Arabidopsis thaliana: one gene and its partner. The protein of the gene in region 1 binds, or shares a complex with, the protein of each later gene. Each region holds a gene or a part of one and is shown on either strand. Other genes may lie near its edges.

What was found. The genes of interacting proteins can lie anywhere in the genome.
Region 2: EIF3A (region 1) and TIF3H1 share a complex: the UniProt entries of both Arabidopsis thaliana proteins name them as parts of the eukaryotic translation initiation factor 3 (eIF-3) complex.

Annotation. Positions count from the first base shown.
Region 1 is NC_003075.7:6,945,458-6,955,587, reverse strand, and holds EIF3A (eukaryotic translation initiation factor 3A), read left to right. Parts: upstream 1-3,108; 5' UTR 3,109-3,214; intron 3,215-3,477; 5' UTR 3,478-3,534; coding exon 3,535-3,580; intron 3,581-3,686; coding exon 3,687-4,168; intron 4,169-4,256; coding exon 4,257-4,472; intron 4,473-4,605; coding exon 4,606-4,974; intron 4,975-5,062; coding exon 5,063-5,092; intron 5,093-5,181; coding exon 5,182-5,409; intron 5,410-5,524; coding exon 5,525-5,686; intron 5,687-5,802; coding exon 5,803-6,024; intron 6,025-6,114; coding exon 6,115-6,321; intron 6,322-6,402; coding exon 6,403-6,609; intron 6,610-6,698; coding exon 6,699-6,779; intron 6,780-6,935; coding exon 6,936-7,137; intron 7,138-7,242; coding exon 7,243-7,754; 3' UTR 7,755-8,112; downstream 8,113-10,130. Other genes in the region: AT4G11430 (hydroxyproline-rich glycoprotein family protein), read right to left, coding at 1,346-1,975, 2,760-2,789; AT4G11410 (NAD(P)-binding Rossmann-fold superfamily protein), read left to right, coding at 8,402-8,507, 8,755-8,986, 9,085-9,164, 9,297-9,450, 9,544-9,622, 9,722-9,806. UniProt on the Arabidopsis thaliana protein: RNA-binding component of the eukaryotic translation initiation factor 3 (eIF-3) complex, which is involved in protein synthesis of a specialized repertoire of mRNAs and, together with other initiation factors, stimulates binding of mRNA and methionyl-tRNAi to the 40S ribosome.
Region 2 is NC_003070.9:3,605,745-3,612,541, forward strand, and holds TIF3H1 (translation initiation factor 3 subunit H1), read right to left. Parts: upstream 4,873-6,797; 5' UTR 4,556-4,872; coding exon 4,546-4,555; exon of another isoform or gene 4,430-4,545; coding exon 4,350-4,429; intron 4,184-4,349; coding exon 4,067-4,183; intron 3,968-4,066; coding exon 3,864-3,967; intron 3,778-3,863; coding exon 3,711-3,777; intron 3,438-3,710; coding exon 3,304-3,437; intron 3,219-3,303; coding exon 3,170-3,218; intron 3,034-3,169; coding exon 2,962-3,033; intron 2,872-2,961; coding exon 2,770-2,871; intron 2,685-2,769; coding exon 2,617-2,684; intron 2,432-2,616; coding exon 2,279-2,431; intron 2,199-2,278; coding exon 2,141-2,198; 3' UTR 1,887-2,140; downstream 1-1,886. Other genes in the region: Z-ISO (15-cis-zeta-carotene isomerase), read right to left, coding at 1-327, 757-966, 1,071-1,217, 1,295-1,705; AT1G10850 (Leucine-rich repeat protein kinase family protein), read left to right, coding at 6,484-6,797. UniProt on the Arabidopsis thaliana protein: Component of the eukaryotic translation initiation factor 3 (eIF-3) complex, which is involved in protein synthesis of a specialized repertoire of mRNAs and, together with other initiation factors, stimulates binding of mRNA and methionyl-tRNAi to the 40S ribosome.

The DNA of each region.
Region 1 (10,130 bases):
CTGCTTCTTCTTCTCGAAGGGTTTTACTTTTTCGTTTTTATTTTTACCTTTGTTTTTTTGTTACAATTGCGAAAAAATGGAAAAACTGGTTTTGTTCAATAATCAAATTCCACTAATCGGGTGGACTTCCCTCTCCTATATTTTTTTAGAAAGGAAGTCATTAGAGTTTTTTCTCTGGCAACGGTAGTTCCGTTGTCCAACTATCCGTTTAGAATCTTTTGGCTTTTGACTTTTTGGCTTTTTATCCGATAACTTTCGTTTTTATGGCAATGTTTGGCCAGCTTTAGTTTTGACACCGTCCGTTTCTCTTTACGGTGGTGGTCGGCTAGCGTCTGGCATCTGTCGGCTTTTACAAAGGCGGTTGACTGGCTTATATCTAGAGTTTCATCGTCCTTCTATTGTGTCTCGTCTAGCTTCTAATCGGATTTTTTCCGGTTTAAATTTATCTTTTCGTTCTTTAGTTTTCTTTACATTTGGTTTGATTGGCCCTCTTGTGTTTCAATTCTTAGATCTGGAATTAGAATTCCTTAAACCTCCTTTGATTAAAAGGCTCGTTTTGTTTTTCAAGCTTATCGATTTCAATTTTAAAAGAAACAAATCGGAGTTGTGGATGATGGTTTTTTCTAGTGCCTTTGGATTGAGTTCAACATAATTGTGGTTATTTCTTCCCACCGATCTATGAAGATGATTGCTTTCTTTTATGTTTTTAGTTGTTGGTTGGAAGCTTTATTGGCTTAATCTCTAAGCGGATGTTACTCGGTTAAAACAGTTCATGGTTTGAATGTGCTTTAGGTTCCTAATTAAAAGCTTTAGTTGTTGTGTAGATCTTGAATTACCTTTTCGTCGTTGTTGTCAAGGAATCAGAGATTCAATTGGTTAAGAATCAGTCGTGAGCAAATCAGTATGGTGATCTGCGATTGTCATTACGGTGAGAAACAGAAGATTTGATTGCTCGAACTTAGTTTTCCGGTGACGATCTAAAATTCATCGGAAGTTGGATCTCTTGCGGTGGAGGTTGTGAAATCAACATGTGTCGTAATCTCATCTTTACCGTCTGACGCGTCTTGTGATATGAAGATAGTTTGCTTTGCTGTCTCTTTTCTTTCTTTGGAGGGTTTAATCTTGGGTCTATCTTTGTGGACTATATATTCGTTTTGTTAGCTCTTAAAATATTGTCTTGTAAGAATACCTTGTGCCGTAGACTTTCGATCAATAAAAAAACATTTACGAGAAAAAAATATGGGTGAATTGCAAAACTAACTGTTTTTGATAATTTATTTAAGAAACTAACACTATAATATACAAAATGTAGAAACTAACACTAGAGGGTAGTAAACTTACTAAATTAGTCTTTTTGATTGGAGATGGTAGTGGTGGTGATGGTTGTGGCCGGCGGTGGTGGATGGAGTTGATGGTGGTCGGAAGTGTTGGTGATCGGTGTGGTGGTTGCCGGCGGTGGTGGTGGTGGCCGGTGGTGGTGGTGGCCGGTGGTGGTGGTGGTGACCGGCGGGGTGATGGTCGGCGGTGGTGGTGGTGGTGGTGGTGGTGGTGGTGGTGACCGGCGGTGGTGGTGGTGGCCGGCGGTGGTGGTGGTGACCGGCGGGGTGATGGTCGGCGGTGGTGGTGGTGGTGGTGGTGGTGGTGGTGGTGACCGGCGGTGGTGGTGGTGGCCGGTGGTGGTGATGGCCGACAGTGGTGGTGGCGGTGGTGGTGGTGGCCGAAGTTGGTGGTGGCCGGAGTTGGTGGTGGCCGGATTTGATGGTGGCCGACAGTGACGGTGACCGGTGTTGGTGGTGACCGGAATAGATGGTGGCCGAAGTTGGCGGTGATGGCCGGCGGTGGTGGCAGGCAGTGGTGGCCGGCGGTGGTGGCAGGCAGTGATGGCCGGCGGTGGTGACCGGTGGTGGTGACCGGTGGTGGCCGGCGGTGGTGACCGGCGGTGGTGGCCGGCGGTGGTGGCCAGCGGTGGTGGTTGCTACTGAAGGTATTGAGGCAACAAGGGCAAATTGAGTAATATTACATATAATACAGAGAATATTATAATTACATAGTTAGGATGGTTAGTTAGTGAATTATAGTTTTTTTGTTAGTTATTTCTGCAAATTTCCCAAAAAAATATATCAATTTCCACTAATTTTTTTTATGTACATGTTGGATTCTAGAAAATCAATGAATTTAACAAAACAAATTCATGATCATCGCACAAATTGGCTAAAATATTGTTGATTTTGGAATTGGATGGAAGGTTAATTGTAGATTATAACGGAATTTAAATTGTTTGAATCTTGGAGTAACTCAAAAATATAGATCAAAATGATTACATATGGCTATGTTCTATTGCAAATCGTGAGCGACAGTTCCGACAAAAAAAATACGTCGATAGTAAAATAATTCAAAAATAATCTGTTATATTAATTTTCCATCACATATTTCCAATGCCTTGCTTAAATATATATTTTGAACTGTATAATGTTCTTATACTCTTGTTACTTACCTAGTATAATTAAGAAAAAAACAGTTAAAAGTAAGCTAACAATCCCTATTTGTAATAGAAAAAATCATATTCAAATTTTCAATTTTTTTATATAAATGCAATAATCATAATTAATTTTTTTTATATGAATTTATAATTGCCCAATTATAAATATTAAAGCGGGTTAACACAATTATACTTTAAAAAAAATTTAATTGAATAACATCAGATTCTATATTACACTTTAAGTCATTAAAACTCTTTTGAAATCATAAACCAATAACACCCTTTTACAGTTGAATTTTTTACCTTTCATGATTTTATGTAAATCAATTGTTTTTTTGAAATGAATTTTTGTAGTGGCATTTTATGTAATATTTAATATGTTGTTGGCTATTTACTTAAATGTATGTTTAGTTAATAATATAGAAATATCAAAGTTAATTGCTAAAAATATTATTAAACAAAATATAGAGAGTATATTGTAAATGATAATTCGAAAATGAAATCCATAAATTTTGTTGATCTCAATTGAATCACATCCCAGTATTAGACAAATTGGGTTTTATAAACACTAAGAAGATAAAACGGGGTCATTTCGAAACCGTAAGAAAATAGGATGATTTCTGCAAATATGGGTAATATATATGTAGAACGATAATATTAATACCAGAAACCCTAGAGTTGCTTCCGCTTCGCTTCTCGTCTCTCTTATCAGTCTTCTCTTTTCACGGCTACAAGGTTAGTCCTAAGTTTCGGCTCTGTTCTTGCATCAGTGATTGGATCTCTACTGCCTTTTAATCAAATCTCATTGAATTGATCTGGGTTAGGGTTTGGGTCAGGTTATCGAATCTTTCTGTGTTATTTTGATTCTATGAAATGAATTTAGGGTTTGGGCAAGTTTTTTCTGGTCTATGTAGCTTCCATCCTTTTCTGAGATATCTGATTGGGTTTTTCGGATTCTGGTGATCTCTGTAACAAAATCGCTTCTCTGTGTTTTTCAGGCTAATTGAGAGTGTCCCTTGCGTTAGAGTTTGTTACTAGCTTTTTTCGTCTGAAACATGGCGAATTTTGCCAAACCAGAGAACGCGTTGAAGCGTGCTGATGGTAAGTTACGAAATGTTTTCGTTTTAACATCCATTTGGTCAAATGGATGTGGTTAGGGTGTGTATGAATTGAGATTGTGTTAAACACTTTTTTTTTGTGTGTGTAGAATTGATCAATGTTGGACAGAAACAAGATGCTCTTCAGGCGCTTCATGATCTCATTACTTCCAAGAGATACAGAGCTTGGCAGAAACCGCTTGAGAAGATCATGTTTAAGTATCTTGATCTTTGTGTTGACTTGAAGAGGGGTCGATTCGCTAAGGATGGATTGATTCAGTATCGTATTGTTTGCCAGCAAGTGAATGTCAGTTCCTTGGAGGAAGTTATCAAGCACTTCCTACATCTTGCTACTGACAAAGCTGAGCAAGCTCGGTCTCAGGCGGATGCCCTTGAGGAGGCTCTTGATGTTGATGACCTTGAAGCTGATAGGAAGCCTGAGGATTTACAGCTAAGTATTGTCAGTGGGGAGAAGGGAAAAGATAGGTCTGACCGTGAGTTGGTCACCCCATGGTTTAAGTTTCTGTGGGAGACATACAGGACAGTCCTTGAGATATTGCGAAACAACTCAAAGTTGGAAGCACTTTATGCGGTTTGTTTTCTTCTAGGTTAAGCTTATTGGTGATACCTCTGATTTTAAGTTGATTGAGATTGAAGACTTGTACTTTATAATCTTGTAGATGACAGCACATAAAGCCTTCCAGTTCTGTAAGCAGTACAAGCGAACAACAGAGTTCCGTAGGCTTTGTGAAATTATAAGAAATCATTTGGCAAACCTGAACAAGTACAGAGACCAAAGGGACCGACCTGACTTATCAGCCCCTGAGAGCTTGCAGCTGTATCTGGACACAAGGTTTGATCAGTTGAAAGTTGCTACTGAGCTTGGACTTTGGCAGGTGCGTTTTTGTTTTCTATGTGTATTTTTCTGATGCTACCTTCTCTATTCCATATTTAGTTTGGCTGTATATAGCTTATCCTCTGTATAATTACTGGAAATAAGTTAGTATGGTTCGTGATGTATCTTTGCAGGAAGCTTTTCGCTCTGTTGAAGATATCTATGGATTAATGTGCATGGTCAAAAAAACGCCCAAGTCATCTTTATTGATGGTTTATTATTCCAAATTGACTGAGATCTTCTGGATTTCTTCTAGCCATCTTTATCATGCTTATGCATGGTTTAAGCTGTTTAGTCTGCAGAAAAATTTCAACAAGAATTTAAGCCAAAAGGATTTGCAGCTAATAGCGTCATCTGTTGTCTTGGCGGCATTGTCCATTCCACCATTTGATCGGGCTCAGAGCGCATCCCATATGGAACTTGAAAATGAGAAAGAACGCAATTTGAGGATGGCTAACCTCATTGGATTCAATCTTGAACCTAAATTTGAGGGCAAAGATATGGTAACATAGGTTCTTATGTTGCTTCATTTTTATTTTGCGCCCTTTCTTTCTGGTTTAGTATTCTAATTCCATTTCCTTCCTGTTTCAGCTTTCCCGGTCAGCTCTTCTGTCAGAGCTGGTGAGTCTCTAGCTGTTACCCTGTCTGTGGTTTAGAATATTTGTCGACTTACAAATATCTGATTTGGAGGCTGATTTTTATGCAATTAGGTTTCAAAAGGTGTTTTGAGCTGTGCATCTCAGGAGGTCAAAGATCTTTTCCATGTTTTGGAGCATGAATTTCACCCACTTGATCTTGGCTCCAAGATTCAGCCTTTGCTGGAAAAGATTTCCAAATCTGGTGGGAAACTGTCCTCAGCTCCTTCTTTACCAGAAGTGCAACTTTCCCAATATGTTCCTTCTCTGGAGAAGCTTGCTACTCTGAGGCTACTTCAACAGGTAAGCCTTGTTCTCTATGTTGTAGGTCAATACCCATTCAACCATTTTGGATTTTTCTGGTGGTTTATCCCTTTTTCTGCATACTAAATGTTCTATGTTCCGATTTTATTTTCAGGTGTCTAAGATTTATCAGACAATAAGAATTGAGAGTTTATCTCAGTTGGTACCCTTCTTTCAATTCTCAGAGGTAGAGAAGATTTCTGTTGATGCTGTGAAGAACAATTTTGTTGCCATGAAAGTTGATCACATGAAGGGTGTTGTAATTTTTGGAAATTTGGTAAGCCTCTGTTAAAGCTTCAGCTCAACACTGATTATATCATATGTAGTTGAGTAATATAATTTTTAACTTATTGACTAAATACTAATCTATTTGATCAACTGTTTGTATATTAGGGTATTGAGTCTGATGGACTGAGGGATCATCTGGCTGTTTTTGCCGAGTCTTTGAGCAAAGTAAGAGCTATGCTGTATCCTGTCCCAAGTAAAGCATCAAAACTAGCTGGCGTTATACCAAATTTAGCAGATACTGTTGAGAAAGAGCACAAAAGACTGCTTGCTCGTAAATCAATCATTGAAAAGAGGAAGGAGGATCAAGAGCGTCAGCAACTAGAAATGGTAGTTACTTTTCCATGGTTATTTGCACAGCTCTCCTTTTACGCTGTACCTGTTTATGAAAATTCCTTTATTTGATGTTTACTTTTGAAGGAACGTGAAGAGGAGCAGAAACGGCTTAAGCTTCAGAAGCTAACTGAAGAGGCAGAACAAAAGAGACTTGCAGCAGAGCTTGCAGAGAGAAGAAAACAAAGAATCCTTAGAGAGATAGAGGAGAAGGAGCTTGAAGAAGCCCAAGCTTTACTGGAAGAGACAGAGAAGCGCATGAAAAAGGGAAAGAAGAAGCCACTTTTAGACGGAGTAAGTTTACCAATATGTTAGCTATTATATAGTTCACTGATTAACTTATTACTAATGTCGGTTGGGTTAAACTAAATATAGGAGAAGGTGACAAAGCAATCTGTGAAGGAAAGGGCCTTAACTGAGCAGCTCAAGGAAAGGCAAGAAATGGAGAAGAAGCTTCAAAAGCTTGCCAAAACGATGGATTATTTGGAAAGAGCAAAGAGAGAAGAGGCTGCTCCATTGATTGAAGCTGCATATCAGCGAAGACTGGTAGAGGAAAGAGAGTTTTATGAGCGTGAACAACAGGTACTTACTGTTTCAGTAGTTTTTCTTTTCTTACAACTTGGTTCTGTGTTGGAAGTATATGAGGTCTTAAAAGCTCTTCTCCTATGCAGCGTGAAGTTGAACTCAGTAAAGAGCGTCATGAGAGTGACTTGAAGGAGAAGAACAGGTTGTCCAGAATGTTGGGTAATAAGGTCAGTCTTTGACATGTCATGTTGTTTCTCTTAATGTTCATCTTTGATCTGAATCTCTTTTCGTTATTGAATTAATTTTAAAGCTCTCTAGTTTCTTACATTTTTCCTGTAACTTTTCCTTCCAATGTACTTATAATCGAATCTTTCTGTGCCCAGGAAATATTCCAAGCACAAGTGATTAGTCGTCGACAAGCAGAGTTTGACAGAATCAGGACGGAGAGAGAGGAGCGTATCAGTAAAATAATCCGAGAGAAGAAGCAAGAAAGGGATATCAAGAGGAAGCAGATATATTATTTGAAAATTGAAGAAGAAAGGATTAGGAAGCTGCAGGAAGAAGAGGAAGCTCGCAAGCAGGAAGGTGTGGACTTGCTTCCATAAATCCACATCATTTTGACTTTGATATTGAAGTTTTTCTTAATAACCCCTTGTTTCTGTTTATTTTTTGGGTTTTCCTCTAATGTAGAAGCTGAGAGGCTCAAGAAGGTAGAAGCTGAACGCAAAGCAAACTTGGATAAAGCTTTTGAGAAGCAAAGGCAGAGAGAGATAGAGCTGGAAGAGAAAAGTAGGCGGGAACGAGAAGAGCTGTTGAGAGGAACTAATGCACCACCTGCTCGCCTTGCAGAGCCTACTGTTACTCCTGTTGGAACTACCGCACCAGCAGCAGCAGCAGCAGCAGCAGGAGCACCAGCAGCACCTTATGTTCCGAAGTGGAAGCGCCAGACTACTGAGGTCTCAGGCCCATCAGCACCAACATCATCAGAAACTGACCGACGGTCCAACCGTGGGCCGCCTCCCGGAGATGACCACTGGGGAAGCAACAGAGGAGCCGCTCAGAATACTGACCGGTGGACTAGTAATAGGGAAAGATCTGGACCTCCAGCTGAAGGAGGAGACCGTTGGGGTTCTGGTCCTAGAGGCAGTGATGATCGCCGATCCACATTTGGAAGCTCCAGGCCCAGGCCAACACAGCGTTGAGTAATAATAATTTTTTTGGTCTCAATCTCCATGGGAATGAATGAAAAAGGTTATCTCTGGATTTTCAACATCACAGCACTCTTCTTTAGCCCAAACCTGTCTCTTCTTCTTTTGAAGATTGCTCATCTTTTATAAGTTTTTATGAAAGATTTTAAAACATGTTAGACTCGTTTTTTGCTCTACACACCCAGAGAGAGTTGTTATTTCCTTCTTCGGTTGGATCTTTCTTTGTTTGTCCAATTTATTTCCAACTTTCTGCTGTAAAAACCTTTGACATTGATCAGCTTCTCTTTCAAGCAAACTTTTTGTTAATTGCTTATTATTAGTTTATGAAGAACAATAAACGAATACCAAATTTCACATTTAACAACATTTGTATCAAAAATGTAAATAGTGTATACAAACATCTTTATTCTTATCTCTGGATTAAGGAAGAAAACAAATGAAACTGTAATTAATACTTTTATACGAGATTCTTCAGTGCCTTGTTTTGAGAACAGAGCATGGGCACATTGCAAAAGCTCTCGGAAAAAGAAATTTTATAATTGGTCAACTTTACTAGGGTGTGTGTTTGATCATCAGCTAGCGTTGGTTTGGTTGAGATTAGACTTTAATTTTGTGGTACAGAAGATAGAAACAAAACAAACATGTGGCCTTTTTGGTGGAAAGGAGCATCTGGGTTCTCTGCTCGTTCCACAGCTGAAGAAGTCACTCATGGAATCGATGGTACTGGTCTCACTGCTATCGTCACAGGTCCTCTTCTTCTTCTTCTTCTTCTTCTTCTTCTTCTTCTTCGTGCAGATGTTTTCAACTTTTTTATGATCTATGTTCAGTCTATAGTTTAATTTCTTGGTTTTGATCCTGCCCTTGAACTCAAGTTGTTGTTGGTATCTGTTAATGGACTAAAGGATTAAACTTTATCAGGCTTGTTAAGAACACATCTTGAAGCAAAGGAGAAGATTTTGCTGGTTTTTGATGTATATGTTTTATTTGATTTCAGGAGCATCAAGTGGTATTGGGGAAGAGACTACTCGTGTTCTTGCTCTTCGTGGTGTTCATGTTGTAATGGCGGTAAGGAATACAGATTCTGGTAATCAAGTCAGAGATAAGATACTTAAGGAAATACCTCAGGCTAAGATTGATGTAATGAAGTTGGATCTTAGCTCTATGGCTTCTGTCAGGAGCTTTGCATCAGAGTATCAGTCTTTGGACCTTCCCTTGAATCTTCTCATGTAAAGTCTCTCTAAGTTTGTAGTTTGTTTCAGTAATTGCTGGATTAGTGAATGTTAATATGTGTTAGTCGGCTTAATCTTTGTTCTTGTTTTTGTAGCAATAATGCGGGGATTATGGCATGTCCCTTCTTGCTTTCTAGCGACAACATTGAATTACAGTTTGCAACCAATCATTTGGGTATGTTTAGTTTAGAAGAACTTATGATCTCCTCCCTTTTTGCTTCTTTGTTTGAACTTTTGCTTCATCGTTTGAAGTATGATGAGGAACATTTTCTATGTTATAAGGTTTATGTTTTGTACAATGCTTCAGGTCATTTTCTGTTGACAAACCTTCTTTTGGAGAGGATGAAGAAAACAGCTAGTGAAAGCAATAGAGAAGGAAGAATTGTTATTGTCTCATCAGAAGGTCATCGATTTGCTTACCGGGAAGGTGTTCAGTTTGACAAAATAAATGATGAAGCAAGGTGATTGTTATGTGATAGTATTGTTTATTACTTTTGAGTTCTAGTGTAGTAAACTAATAACATACTGCTATTGCTCTCACTGTTTCTCTACAGGTACAATACTTTGCAAGCATATGGTCAGTCAAAGCTCGGTAACATCTTGCACGCTACTGAGCTCGCTAGGCTATTCAAGGTAAGATAGTATTTCGCAGTTGATTCGTAGTCAATTCCAAAGGTCAAAGAGAAAGCTAGAGGAGTTAGGTTTGGTTCATCTTTGTTTTGCTTAAAACAGGAACAAGGTGTGAATATCACTGCTAATTCACTTCATCCTGGATCCATTATGACCAATCTTTTACGCTACCACAGCTTCATAAATAGTAAATCCTCTTTCGCCTTATATATCATTTCTGACTTTCCTTTGTTTATTTAATACTGCATACTGGACTGACACTCGATAAACAACGGATTAACTTGTGTCGCCTTGTAAAATTTAGTTTGAGCCTGCACTGTGACTCATATCCTAGGTGATGTTTGATCCTGTATTATAATTAACTAGTATAAGTTTAACCCTGTGTTAATCTACACATTTTCAAAATGTTGTTCCGTAGTAACTAGTAAGCTTGTCAATGAATGTTTATGATCTAACAATAGATGCATCAGAGAACCAACCGATAACGGCATGAATTTCTTTCTCTTGTTTG
Region 2 (6,797 bases), on another chromosome or scaffold:
AAGCCTAAAGCTTGCACCTTGCATTAGCGGGTGAGCAAAATATGCCCCAACCGTTAACGCAGTGATTGCAAGATATGGCAACCTGACAAATTCTTTGTAGTAATCCTCAGGTAAAACTTGCCGTCCTTCGAAAATGGCAGCAAATGGAATCACACTTGTTCTCTTCTTGATGCTTTCAAAATCCTCTCCATATCTTTTTGCCAATCTCCTGTCTCCATTCCACGCCCCAAACAAATGGTGTGCAATCAAACCGAGAGAAGCTGATGCAGCTACTGTGTTTCCGATCCAGAGAGTATGTGCTAAACACCAAACGATTTGTCCAACCATCTGGAGAAGATCAGAGGAGAGAGGTGCAACAATCAAGTCTCATTAACAAAGCCAGTATAATGAAGAGAGAATAGAACAAACCAAAACTGAAGCTAAAATGCCTATCTTTCTATATATTATCAAGTTTTTCCAAACACATGATGAAGCAATTGGATAAGAATTTTAAGATCAAAAGCAATATCAAGTAAAGTAATCAAGCATTGATGTAATAAACATAGAAGGATGAGGAGATTTGATTGTGCTGATGTAATGGGTGTATTTAAGTCAATGGCCAATACCTGCCCATAATTGATTCAATGATTGGGGGTCTCATTAACACAGCCACTAATAAACCTTGGCTCATAAAAATCCAATCTTTCTGTATTTTTGAAACACAAAAATGAAGGAAATTGTCTTCATGTTTAGGCACATTAGGGAAATGTTCAAAACCTGAGGATGTCGAGTGATTCTCATGATGCCGGTCTCCCAGAGATGCATCTTCGGTTTGTCAACAGCTGCTACCTCCAGAAGATTGAAGGTTGAAGGATAGAGAAAGAAGAAGGATACAAAATTAGCGACCCAAATAGCTTCATGGACTCCAGGAACACCCTGAAGCTGCCATAACTGTGACCCATCATATCTATGGTTTATAAAGTAAACCTGAAAGAAGAACAAGGCATTGCATAGACCATAAGAGACATCAAACAGGTATTTATACCATTGATCAGGAGAAAAATTGCAGAGTTAGAAGAGAGAGTACTCACAATGGTGCTCATAGCTAAAGGAAGAGAGATTCCAGCAAACAAAACACGAAATGCTCGTTCACCTATAAGTTTCTCTCCTATATCCCTTAGACTAGCTAAACCACTATGTACAATTGCAAATATAAGGATAAGCATTAACATAGCAACCTGCAAAAACAAGTGGTTTTTAACAATCAAATAACTGAAATTGAAACTGGTTCAGTTACTGTTAAATTGATCTATACCTCCGGTGAGCCGGAGATGTTAGAGACGGCGTCGATGAATGATTTTCCGAAACCGGTGGAATTATCGATCCAAACAACATTGAGGATAAAGAGAACAACTCCAAGGACAACACCGAAATAAACCCAGGAAACAAGCTTCTGTTTCCCTAATTCAAAAGCAGCAGAATCTTCACCGATCAGTAGAGTAGGACTACTCTCGGAGTCAGAGGCGATGGGTTGGTCTTCCCGGAGAGTGCTACGAACCAGAATTTTCCGAATTACCGGTGACGAAGAAGAAAGCAAGCTGGTCGAGTTTCCGAGGCGAGGATGAGCTGGGATACGGCGGATTAAGGTGAGGTTAGGGCGGCGAGGAGAAGGAGGGAGAAGAAGAAGCGAAGGTGGGCTCGAGAGAAGGAGATGATAAACCGCCATTGTTCTTGTTGGTAAACAATCTTTCGAAGAGGAAGTAATAAAAAGATGTCGTTTTTAAATTTCTTCAAACAATCGTCCGAAGAAGAAATAATAAACGTTGTCGTTCAAGGGATTTAGCGATGGAACTAACACTACAACTATAATAAAATCTCTATAAATTAGATTTTTTACTCTTTTGATTAGGATTTTGATAACTATGTATAATTTGTTGTAAGGCAATCAGAGGTCCAATACAAGATAAATCTTTCAAAACTTCAATAATTTTTCATTATGCATAAGAATAAAGATTTTTTTTGAAAAGCTTGTAAATTAAATTACTTCACAACAACAAAAATAAAAACAAAAACATCCACGAAAAACAAATATAGGATCCATTCTACCACCAAGTCTTTCACTTTCTGACTCAAAAAACAAAAACTTGGGTAGTCTTTGCAATCAGTTGTCGTGCAATGCTTTGGTCAGGTAAAGCCTGCTGAAGTTCTGGCCAGCCACTCTGCATAACAACAGGTCGACTCATTTTAAGTATCTTTCAAAGCTCCAAAAATGGTGAAACAATACTAAAGAGGAACATACCCATTGATTTGGCCACAGAAGTTTGAGACTTGGTTTGTGATGAGGAAACTCTCTAGCCTAGATGGTTCAGGGATCGCCTTAAAGATTGGGTTTGAAGGATCCTCTTCTGGTAAAGGCTCCTCTCCAGCTGATTTACGAGCCATGTTCTCCGTTCTATAAACCAAACACCTCTTTCATTAGTTGGAAGATCAAAAGGACAAGGAAAAGCTGAAGACAAATGTTACAAGGCATTCACAACTCTCGTAAGTAAAGTTGTATCACCTTCCAAGATAACGAGGTAGTGAAACTAATCAAACCTGAACTAGAACAAAAAGGTTCTGCAGAAAATATAAACCTACCTTCTCTTCTGGAGCCAGGCTTGCTGTTGTGCTTGCTGACGAGACAGGTTCCGGTAGTAATACTGGAACTGGAGAAATAAATTAAGATTTTGCGTTAAGATAGTTCGGACTTCTGATGATGAGAATTGAACAAGAGTGCAGAAGAAACCACACCTTTTGCTGTTCCATAGATAAATCATCCATGCATTTAATCAAAAACTCCATATTGTTCTCAAGGAAAGGAGTGGTTGATGAGTGTAGACGATCATAATCGCCCTAGAAAGGCGAAAATACAGAAGTATCAAGAGTCAAAATCTGCAATGCTGACAGCAAGCAAGGATCACTATCCAGATAGTAGTATTGTACCTGTGAGACAGGTGTATCAGTCTCCAGTTCGGTCATAAAGGCACTGACAAGGGCAGAATTTGAAACCTTGATCTGTCAAAGGAAAAGTAACAAACATTTAAACCACTTTTTTTGTCAGAGGAAAATATAATTAGGTAACAATTCCAACCTAGTGACTTGAAAAGATTAGCTGGTAAGAATTCAATATAGAAGAAAGCTAGAGACTTACAGGTATTTCCTCAAAAATATCCATCCAGGAGAAATTTTTCTCTCTCAACCTGAAAAAGATAGTGATTAAAACGTTACAACTATCATCCTAAGTGGCTCATAAAACCTAGATTTTCAATGGATCAAGATACATACTTCTCGCCAGTAAAGTTTCCACCTCGGTACAACTCCATAAAGGAATCTGAAAGCTTCAAAGCCTTCAAAGCTAAGACGCCTAGATCAGCTTTAGAGGGATCATATATGATGCACACACACCTCTTGATATTCTCCTGTAGATGCAGAAGAATCATTTCTTAAGAGTTCATATCATGATTCTGCAAGGGATTGTAACAGAGTTGCGGACAAAAAAAGTCTCAGAAAATATATTCATGATCCAATTTACATTCAACTTTTACACATGCCAATATACCTATCATACACTAGAGTAGCCATGCTATACATATAAATTTCCAGCTGAATGAAGAGCATAACATATGAACAGACCAAATCTAGAATGTTATAATGACATGGTAGACAGGATTCTTTAACAAAAAAAAAAGTACCTGGTAATTCATGAAGGTCTCAATCAGTTCCACAGTCTGATACGAACCAAGAACTGTAGATTGATACCTGAACAAAGAATTAGGCAGATCTAAATACATTCACAAGAAAAAATTTAACAAGTGAACTCAGACTGATGTCATTAAAAAACCTACCAGCCAACAGTGTTGTTGTCAACATTAACCTCCCTCAGACATCTCATCATCTCAAGCTGATAATTAGCACCATCAGCTTCAATTTCTTCATCATCATCCCTGACCTGTCCTCGTTTAAGATACAAATTCCAGTAAATCACATGTACATCAATCATGAACAAGCTCTTAAATCCTCACAATGCGTGTAAAATTCATCAACATACCGGGAAAGGAAAACAATTGGTAACTTCGAGGACGCTACCAACATCAAGTCCAAGAAGCTGTCCAGTGACAAGGGTCGGTGAAAACTCCTTGCAGTGTTTGATTATCTTTAGTACAGCCTATCACAATAGCAAACAAAATTCTCAGCATCACAACTTCCTACCAAATGATAATGGGCAAATTAGCTTCACCTAGAGAGTTTTTATTTATCAAACACCATCGGTCAGCAGAAAACGAGGAAAAACACTTAAAACCGTAAAATCAGGGAACACTAAGAAACGTTACCAGTCCTTCGATCTGAACAACTCTAAGCGGAGGAGCCACCGCCTCATCCTTCGATATCGCCTGCAGAAACGACCTAGCCACTGCAGAAATAAACCACGGAAGAAACTTAGCACGACATATACAGAAATCGTCAATAAACAGATGCAAATATTAATTCTATGTCCTAGTGAAGAACAGAGAGGATGATTATACTGACTGGTTGCCATTGAAATAGTCTCCGGTGATAGTGAAAGCTTCCTAGGTCAAAGAACTTGAATCTCCGCCGTGAAACCCTAACGATGTGATATTTTTACTGCCGGCGGCGGAGATGAGTAAGAGAAAGAACTTTATGTGTTTGATAGGGCTTCTCGAGGATCCGCAGATTTTTTTTTCCCTTCAATTTGGGTGTAGAGAGGAAAAAAAAAAAGCGTTTCGCAGTTAAAATTGCAAAAGAGCCCTAAAATTTGAGATTCTTATAGAATGATCCCTAAATGTTTTCCGACCTATAATAAGGATGGACCCAGCCCATGGACCTATAATGCTATTCTCTTGTAAAAGGCCAGGACCATAATATTCCTCAAAATATTGAACATTTAATTTAATAGCATGGGCCCATTACACTAACCAACTAGTCAAAACTTAGTAAGAAAAAACAAACAGTCATGGAGTCAACTAGAATCCAAAACTTTTAGAAACTTTCCCTCCAAATTCCATCCGGTATTAGGGTTTAATCGAAAAAGAGGACTAATTCAAAGTCTAATCTTTAGTAACCAACTTTAAAAAGTCTATAAGACATGGTCATTTCATAAGTCCGTAAGAAAATCAACAATGTCCTAAATAAACGGCAAAAACTAGAGAATCACCACTGGTATCAAAAAACGTAAAACCAAATATATAAAACGTATTAAATGTACTATAGTTTATTACTCGAAAGTCGAAAACCTTGATGATTCATTGAAGGTCAAAGAAGTCAACAATAATATTGATGCCAAATTAAATGACTGCAGTCTCTTTGCGAGGTTGGTGTTTGGACTGGTGGACCGCTGGTTAATAATTAACTCAGCCTTTACGTGAACTCAATTCTCACCTCTTCTTTATTACATTTTCATCACGCTTAAGCTAAGCAACTAATAAATTCCTAATTTAATAAACACTTCAACATCCTCGTTTTAGAGATTGAATACCAACCATGAATGTTAACACATCTTTAACTTTCCTCTCAAACAAAAATCCAACAATCTATATCCTCATTGTATAAATAACATGAGGTCCATATTAAAATACGATTAAAAATATTATAAAAACCATGTGAAGATTCAACAAGAAAAAGAGGTAGGAAAAAAAAGCAGCTCAATAATTGGTAGAGAGTGCAAAGAGGAACCAGACACCAACTGAATAAAATTGAAAAACAATGTCTCTCCTTACTTTAAATAAATCATCCCTAAAATTAATTATTCCCACCATATTTCTTCTGCTCCATACCACACTTCACCATAAAATCTCTATATAAATTTTCTCAGCAGCAGTAACTACCTTGGCCCCAAAACCTATCTGTCTCTGAATCTTGGCAAAGTAATAGCAACCATAACAATAACGACAAAAATATACGTGAATTATTTTTCTCTTTCTCCTTCGTCTCTCCTTCATAAACCCATTATTAATTTTTTTTATAATACTACTATTATTCATGAATGCATTGAAGATGTCACAGTGAGAACAAAAAAAAAGTTTTCCAGGCATGGCTTCACGTGATGACATCTTCCTCGACCAAGAACTTCGAGAAAAGATACTCAGAAAGTGAAGTGAGAGAGAGAGAAAATGCCGGGGAATTTTAATGCTTCTTCTTCTCTTCTTAGTGCTCACTACCAGAAGATTTCTTTCCGCCATTAAAGAGCAGAGTAGAGCAGAGCTCTCACTTTCTTCTTCTTCTTCTTCATTTTTTACCTTTCCCTTTTTTGCTTCGATCGAGATGCTTTAGCATAATGGGGCAGATCTGGAAAGTGACTTAATAATAGAAAGTGATGGCTTTGAGGAGATTCATGGGATGCTTTTTATGGAAACTCGATTTCGAACTGTATCAATCATTTCTGTTTCTTTTATGAGCTGAGGAAAAGAGCCACTCTTTCTGATTTGATTGATTCATCATTCATCGACAATGGCTTCTTCTTCTTCTTCTTCGTCTTCGAGTACGGTGTCGTTCGTAGTCTTTGCATTTACAGTCTTCTTCTGTTTGGTTACTCCGGCGAGATCTAGCGACGTCGAAGCTTTACTAAGCTTGAAATCTTCAATCGATCCATCTAATTCGATTTCTTGGAGAGGAACAGATCTCTGCAACTGGCAAGGTGTTAGAGAATGTATGAATGGAAGAGTCTCCAAGCTTGTTCTTGAGTACTTGAATCTCACCGGCTCACTTAACGAGAAGAGTTTGAACCAGTTGGATCAACTTAGGGTTCTTAGTTTCAAAGCTAA